Linked DNA regions of Lytechinus pictus. The protein of the gene in region 1 purifies or fractionates together with the protein of each later gene. This does not show direct contact. Links are inferred from orthologs where the notes say so. Each region holds a gene or a part of one and is shown on either strand. Other genes may lie near its edges. The genes, in order: N-alpha-acetyltransferase 30-like; N-alpha-acetyltransferase 38, NatC auxiliary subunit-like.

What was found.
Region 2: the proteins of N-alpha-acetyltransferase 30-like (region 1) and N-alpha-acetyltransferase 38, NatC auxiliary subunit-like purify together in Homo sapiens (co-immunoprecipitation; 3 studies listed by BioGRID and IntAct, with this or other methods). This does not show direct contact. The link is inferred for Lytechinus pictus from reciprocal best matches to the Homo sapiens genes NAA30 and NAA38.

The regions. Positions count from the first base shown.
Region 1 is NC_087251.1:25,285,384-25,289,314, reverse strand, and holds the start of N-alpha-acetyltransferase 30-like, read left to right. Parts: upstream 1-1,553; 5' UTR 1,554-1,650; intron 1,651-2,672; exon of another isoform or gene 2,673-2,928; intron 2,929-3,021; exon of another isoform or gene 3,022-3,247; intron 3,248-3,931. UniProt on the Homo sapiens protein: Catalytic subunit of the N-terminal acetyltransferase C (NatC) complex. Catalyzes acetylation of the N-terminal methionine residues of peptides beginning with Met-Leu-Ala and Met-Leu-Gly.
Region 2 is NC_087258.1:26,236,567-26,240,497, forward strand, and holds the start of N-alpha-acetyltransferase 38, NatC auxiliary subunit-like, read right to left. Parts: upstream 3,025-3,931; 5' UTR 2,918-3,024; exon of another isoform or gene 2,767-2,917; intron 1-2,766. Other genes in the region: peptidyl-prolyl cis-trans isomerase H-like, read left to right, coding at 3,165-3,230.

The DNA.
Region 1 (3,931 bases):
ATCAGTTGTTCTGGACCAAAAACATGATCCTTGTACAAACTGATACCTAGTAGAAATAGCATCATGGGTGACGTACGGCAGAGAGCAGATATGAAGTTTTGTCTTGCAGCATTAGCATCACAAGATATTCTGGCAGCTCGCAATGAACTGATGAAAGGTACTAATAATACGGGTATTCACCTTTGTTGAAGTTGATATATATATAATTTACTACATGTATATGACAGAAGCTGCAGCTCTAATGATGGCCTTCATTTCATCCTCATCATCATCCCTCTGCTGTTTGGAAATGCTCTCAGATGATGCTAGCTGTGACATGAGAGTTAGACCTGTCCTATCCATTTTCAGAAGATTAAGCTAATAGTTTATAGTATTTATTATAACATTGAGGTGAGTGGCCTATCGCTGGAGAGAAAAGACACGACAACCTTGATTTAGATATAATGATGCATTAAATGCTGCTACTTAAGATAAAAATCATTTCAAATTATATACTTGATTTCATTTATTTTTTCAGTGCTTTTGGCAATGCATCGCAGTATATGAAAAAGTGTTATTTGGTTATCAACTTTTTTAACTTAATTTCCACTGGTATTTTGGAAAGGGCTCATTGACCTCTGACCCCTAAATACATTCTCCATGGCCGTCATTATTTCAGACCGAAATTATGAAACCTCCATGTTTTCATTACAAATAAGCCATGGTTATTTACATTATTTAGATATAAAATATGAACACAAAATATATTGTTTTTGGTTATTTTTATATCATATAGATTATATATTTCCTCTGATCTAGGATTTAAAGGGTGAAAGTTTATTCTTTATACTTATTTTAGTGTTGTTTAATCTTCTTGTACAAGTCTTTGGATTTTGGCACCAAGATCACCAACCTGCGGTGTTTTATCTCAGAGATACCATTATTATTATCTAAAAAGGACATTGACCTTTGTCGTTGAATTTTATGGGTGAATGTGCATTCTCGATGCTTAATTTTATTTTATCTTCCTGTAAGAATATGCGTGTTTTGACACCAAGAACACCAATCTGCACCGTTTTATCTTAGAGATACAATTATATAATATGGTATATGTAGTATAAAAGGTCATTGACCTTTGGCCTTAAATTTTATGCGTGAATGTGCATTCTAGGTACTTAATTTTATTCCATTTGATCTTCTGGTAAGAATCTGTGCATTTTGACACCATGATCACCAACCTGCGCCTTTCCATCTCAGAGATACCATTATACAGTATGTACGAAAAGGTCATTGACCTTTGACCTTGAAAAAAAGCACTTTCCCCAACCCGTATTCCTCCTAACTTTTTTTTGGTAAATGTTGACACCCATACCTACTCAAATCAGTCAAAAAACCATTTCCAATAATTTTATTCCAGATTGGCTCTTTTGGGGTCTAATTTAGGGATGCTAAAAGGGGAAGTAATTGTAATTGAATTTGAGAAATTGTAATTGACTTATATTACATTCAATTACTTTTGATTACATTCAATAAAAAAAAAGAAAAAAGGACCCTGGCTGGATGGAGGACATGGACAGAAGCCAGAGCTGTGGCCTCTGATAGGCAATGGTGGAGACGTTCGGTGGCCCGGGCCCTATGTGCCACTATAGGCATCTGGACTATAGGTAACAGGTAAGGTGACATTCAATTACATTACTTTATTACTTAATTTATTATTCAATTTACTCTGGATTGCTTTATTCCCTTAATTAGCTACTAGTGCTCTCTTCATGAAATTGTATCATTTTCCATGATAGGGAGAAAAGAGCTTAAAGAACTGCACAAAGTGGGTGGCGCTATACCTTGCGCTATACATACAAAATATTAATTGATCTGATTTATGACTTTCAAGTAATTAATTGTAATTGTAATTGACAAAAGTAATTAGTAATTGTAATTGAAAAAAATTGTAATTTAATTGAAAGGTAATTGTAATTGAACATTTCTTCAATTACGTAAGTGCAATTGCAATTGTAATTGAAGAAAGTAATTTAGCCCAACCCTGACCTTCACATCACCCTTTCCATCTTTTGCACCCTATAGCTACTCCTTTGATTGGGAACATTTTGGAGGTAATCGGTCCACTGCCTCCTTTGAATATTTTTACAGATAAATGGCGCTATACAATGATGTTCATCAGTAGCGTACGCAGGGGCCGATTGCCCGAAAGGGTCTTTCCAAGGACCGTCTTTCGTGTCGCCCATCTTTTATGATGCGCTATTAGCGGGGTGTTTCTGAAATTTATGATAAACAAATACAATTCGTAAGCTTGCTTTTAAATCAAATTTTATACAATTTTGTGAGATATCACATCATTTTATAAACAAATATTTTGTTTATTTTAACGGACGAATAAAATATGTTTGCAGATAATTTATTTGAAATGCGTTTCACATGGCGCATCATAAAAAATGGGCGACACGAAAGACGGTCCTTGCAAAGACCTTTTCGTGCAATCGGCCCCCAGGATTTTTGAAAGGGGATAGTTCAAGCTGAATGAAAAGTTTAAAAAAATATATATGAGGGAGGGGTTTTGAGTATCAAAAAAGTTAAAGGGGGTTTGAACACCTGTATCCCCCCCCCCCCCTGTGTACGCTACTGCTGTTCATCATCATCATAATCATTATCACTACCACCCCCCCCCCCCCCCACATCGCCTTGATTTTTGACTGATGCCCCGACTGATGCTTGAATTTTCTTGCAACATTATCAGCGCAGAGCATTTACCCGGTATGATAACACGTACGGTATACCGTATGTCATGTACGTGGTATATACGGTACTCCATCCCAGGCTTGAGCTTCTTTGAGCTGCAAAATGTATATGATATGACGGCAGCGCGAGCTAGGGGATCAATTTTTAGGTGCAAACTGATGTTTGATTTCTTCATGTTTTCTGGTGAGTTTACAGGTTTGTTTTGCGTTTTTCTTTCTGATACGTGATGTTGCTGTCGTTTGAGACCTGAGTCAGTGTTAATCAAAGTAAATTGTGGATCTATGTGAGTAAAGAATGAGTGTGAGGAATCCCAATCAAGATTGATGAAGTCGCGACACACAGCTGCACAGAGAGGTCTCGCTCAACAGATCGATAGGCCGTTTCTATTGCCAGTTCGTTCAACTTCCTAAGTATACAAGTTGAATAGGGGTATCACGATTCCTTGATATATGTAAGGGAATGGCACATGAGCCAAATCACTGGCTACTGTATATCTGTTGTCATCGCGATAAGTGTGAGTTAAATTGATGGTGTGTACTGTAGCCTATATGATGGGGTGTCCAAACTTCGCACACTTTTCAAAAATATTCATCAGGCTTAAATTTTTCACAAAATATTCATAATTTATAGTTTATACAAAACCAATTCAAGAAATAGTTACCACATTGACGGCAAGATCGTAAACTATAATATCATGGACGAAAATGTAAAGTAGGTCAAGGGGATTCGCCGGTATCGAGATCTCAAAATAATATTCTGATCGGCGAATGCGCGCTGTGCTGGAAAAGCGTTCAGAAAAAGTGTGACCTAACTTCGCGGACCTAAGTTTTTGTGGACATTTAAACAAAAACTCAAGCTCAAAAAGTGAAATATTTATATCAGATTGATGGCAAAATGCTATAGCCTATAGTCTAGAATCGGTTAGTACCACATTTAACTCACATTTTTGATGATTTCTGCTTGCAAAATGGTGATATCGACTATCGTGATGCTTGTTGAGAATATCAGATTTCTTCAAAACGGGCGCTAACGGTGACAAATTTGCCGATCTTTTGCTAATATTTTCATGAATACTGAACTCATCCTAAAGAAACTTACACCAAAAGGTAATTTTAGGTCGCTTTTCACGTTGATGATGTCAGATTTTAAGGATATTGGCTAGTTTTTTAGATGACCCTCCGCGAAGTATGGACACGCG
Region 2 (3,931 bases), on another chromosome or scaffold:
GGTGTGCTCGCGCATAGGCAATGGTCGGACAGCGCTCTGCAGGCCACTTTCACCAAAAATGCAGCTCATTGTAGAGGATCAATGCGGCCGGAATGATGTTACAAAAAATATGCGAAGTATAGGAACGGATTTCTTTCTCTTTTTTTCAATATTATCACGAGGGTCTGAGCTCAGACCCTTGCGCATGCGATGTTTTGAAATCGGCAGCAAATTATTTATACGTGTGAGGAACTCGATGTTGGCTCTAAATCACCAATTTTGAGGCTAACCGGAGGATGGATATGGAGTGAAATTAGGATGAAAAGTAAGAAATTAAGCTTCTTATTCTTTTTAAGCTAGTTTCCGTATATAGGATTTTTACAATAATATGCATTTTTTCCCACCTTCACGACCTTTGCCACTCGGAGTATCAGAGCGAGTTTTGGACCTGGAGCCTCAAGTTGAGGTTCAGGTAGGTGGAGCGTAGTGTAGGCTGTAGCGGTAGTGAAGTGGAGTGGAGCCTGCACGAACATCACTTGAGCCCGGGGGGGCCACTTCCATTGACGAGTGGATACCATGCGCGACCAAGGGGTCTCGAAAAGCACCCTAAACACGTATTTTCCAAATTCTGAAAATGCACCCCTTAACAAGTATTGGCGTCTGAAACCCTACCCTTAACAAGTATTGGAAACAAAACGATACTCTTGGCAAGTATTCCCTGAAATGAACCCCTAAACAAGTACAGCGATATTTGATTGTTATGTCACGAGTCCATCGGTCGTCGGTTTTACCTTTACAGTTTACACACCATTTGGTTTAGTATGGCCCCAGCTTCCACACCTCGCGCAAATCGGACTCTAATTACTCTAAACACGTAGTGTTGGGGCAAAAAGGACATCCTTTATAAAACATTTTAATTTTGTTTATCATCCCCGCAAATTTGACCCTAAACACGTACTAGCTTTCCTAGCGAAATAGATACCCTTTTTTCATTATTTTTGTGTTTTTGACACCCTTATCACGTTACGTACGTAACGTGCCCTATCTTGAAAAAGACATCCTTTTTACGTGTTTTTTTGGTCGCGCATGGTATCCACTCGTCAATGTAAGTGGCCCCCCCGGGCACTTGAGGTAGGTTTCGTGAGGCACATCCCCATACATAAAAAAAAATTGAGATCAAGTGCCCCCACCAAGCTTATTTCCACTCCTGCTCCACATGCATGCTCTTAGTCTTAGTTTTTTATTTTATTTTATATTAACCTTATGATCACGCTTCCATGCCTTTGCATAATGCATGTTGTTCTCAATCTACACTAACTTTGTTTAGTATAATACAGGTACAGGGGGAAAGAGTTCCATATGCACCCCCCACCAAAAATAACAAGATTGTTGAGACTTCCGGTTCGTTCATCTCAGATTTTTCTATCATTTTTTTACTGTTGCTTACCTTAGTTGGGACTCTAACTCACCTCGTTTTATCTGCAGTCAAGACCACTCTAGGCGACACCCCAATACTTACCCGTGCTAATAAACTGGGACTCCACTCACGCGCATTTGGGCCGCCCTAGCTTAGAACTAAGCAATATTATCTAGAAATTAATAAACTCTAGTCATGAAATATGTTCTATTAAATAAATTGATAATGTTTAATCGGTACTCACCGGTTCTTTTGTTGCATTTTCAGACCATTTCTCACAAATTCTTTGTAAATATTTGCGGCAAATTTTGTCGCCATAGACAGCTATGCATCCATCTTTATTAATAAATGGAGCGCCCTTTACGATAGTTGTTAATGCCGCGGAGAAATCGTTAGGCATTTTGGCATGTGTTCAAGGCGTTCTTTCTGTTTTATTTTTTATATTGAAGATTGTGCATTTGTTGAATAGCGCCGTCTACGTCAGGTATGAGATCGAGTGTATAAATACACTCTTCCAAAATAATTATGATTCCGACCTGGCGCTGTTTAACTTCAATCTCTTTCACCTAAATTAGCGATGAATGCTAGCATTATAAAATATATATTATTAACGTCTGACAAAAAGAATAACCAACCGATCAGCTGACGAGAACGCGAATCACGTGATCTTCATATCAGCTTCGATCGCGAGTCAGAAGAGAAGAGCAACTGCCCAGAAAATCAGGAAAAAGCCGTGAAAATGTAAGTTCCCCTTCATTTCTTTCATTTTTTTGTTGTTGCTAACGATGCATTTACACTATAAAATTATAATTTAAATAAGAGAAAGGAATATAGCTTGTACTTGTGATATAATATATAAATATCCTGTTCTCAGAGATTTCTAACCAAAAATACTACTGATGTCGCCTATGAGGTCCATACATGTAATGTTTGGACCTCATTGGTACTAGGAGTGGTCAAGACCTCTTCCCGCTATGCTAGCGAGAAGCGCTGATACCGGAAGGGGTATTTTAATGATTATCAGCCGATAGCTCGACTAGTCTAGACTCACAGACCCTTTGGCTTTACTGACTAACTTAGTTAAATAAACTGATGTCTATGGACAATTACACGCACTAGATCCTGCTCGAAATTTGACGGAATAAAGCCATATTTTGGTGTGTATTTCCACTCCCCCATCATATATGTTCTAATCTATATTATGGCTAGATATATTATTCTGAACCTTCTCTATATTTTCATTTTCAATTTTAGTGGGGATGCACAGGGTTTGATGACCCACCGCATCACAGGCAAAACTTTACTTCGCCTCTTTAATTGCGACGCTATCCCGATTCGGGTATGCATTAACTTTGAGTATCTTATTATCCAAGACCAACTACAATATCATGATACGAATACCGGTAGTTGAATCTTATTCTTGGTAAAATCAAGCTTCTTTCATTACTTGCATATGAAAATGAGACCTAGGGCCTAAATAAAACTTAAGTTAGAATTCCAAGTTGTTTTTTTTTTACTTACCAGAGTCTAGATATCAGTAACTACTAACTTTGAGGTCCTTTGCGCTCATTTAGAGTGGTCTAACCAGCAGCTTCGTGATCACCGTACCCGCCTTCACCTTTGGTATACCGTACGCTCTCGACCTCGATACCGCGCGTGAGAGAGTGGCTAGTGCATGCAGTGGTGGTGTGCTAAAACCTTGCCCTTGGAAGTTGGAACACAATTTCATCACGTTTCTCTGGCTTAAGCTTGTCCTAAAAAGTTTGCAATGACGACGGGAGCTTCAAACCCAACCAACCCTATTGTTTTCTTTGACATAACAATAGGAGGGCAGGTAATTTTCTTATCATAATCATGTGCTCTCGGACCGTTAGTTACTCCGTGCCTGTGTGCTGTGGTCCCACGTGCTGATTTTTGTGAAGGCCCTGGGGCCCGTTTCTCAACACATGGACAAGTTAGTCATATACATGTATCGCCTTATCGGCATATCTTTATCCACCAACCACGGAGTTAGTTCCAATCTTACTAAACCTGTTTCTCGAAAGGCTTCCTAACTAGAATACCTTGATATCGATACTATCGGTAAAAAGAGCAGACGAGACGTAGCCTTAGTCACAAAATAGCATAATTTTCAAAAAGAAAAATTATAAATATGATATGACAAAATTGCAAATATTATGATGAATTGGGAAAAAAATCTTTTCAAAATAATAGCACAGGTGAATTATGCATCATACATACTTAGACCATGAAGACTGGAGCATTCAATTGCAGAGAAAATCAAATTATGAATAATTCATTTCATGACTAAAAAATCACTTGTGGACGTTGAGATGGGTACCCCCGGCCCGGCAGACCCAATTTTAATAGTTTACGAAAGTAAACCATAACGTTTTTTTTTGTAAAATGGTGATAATTATACGGACTTTTACGATTCCAAACGTCATCAAAATATAGTTTAACGAAACATTTTTAATCATTGATACCGAAAGATACGATATTGGACAAATTATATGCATAAATTAGAGATAGAAA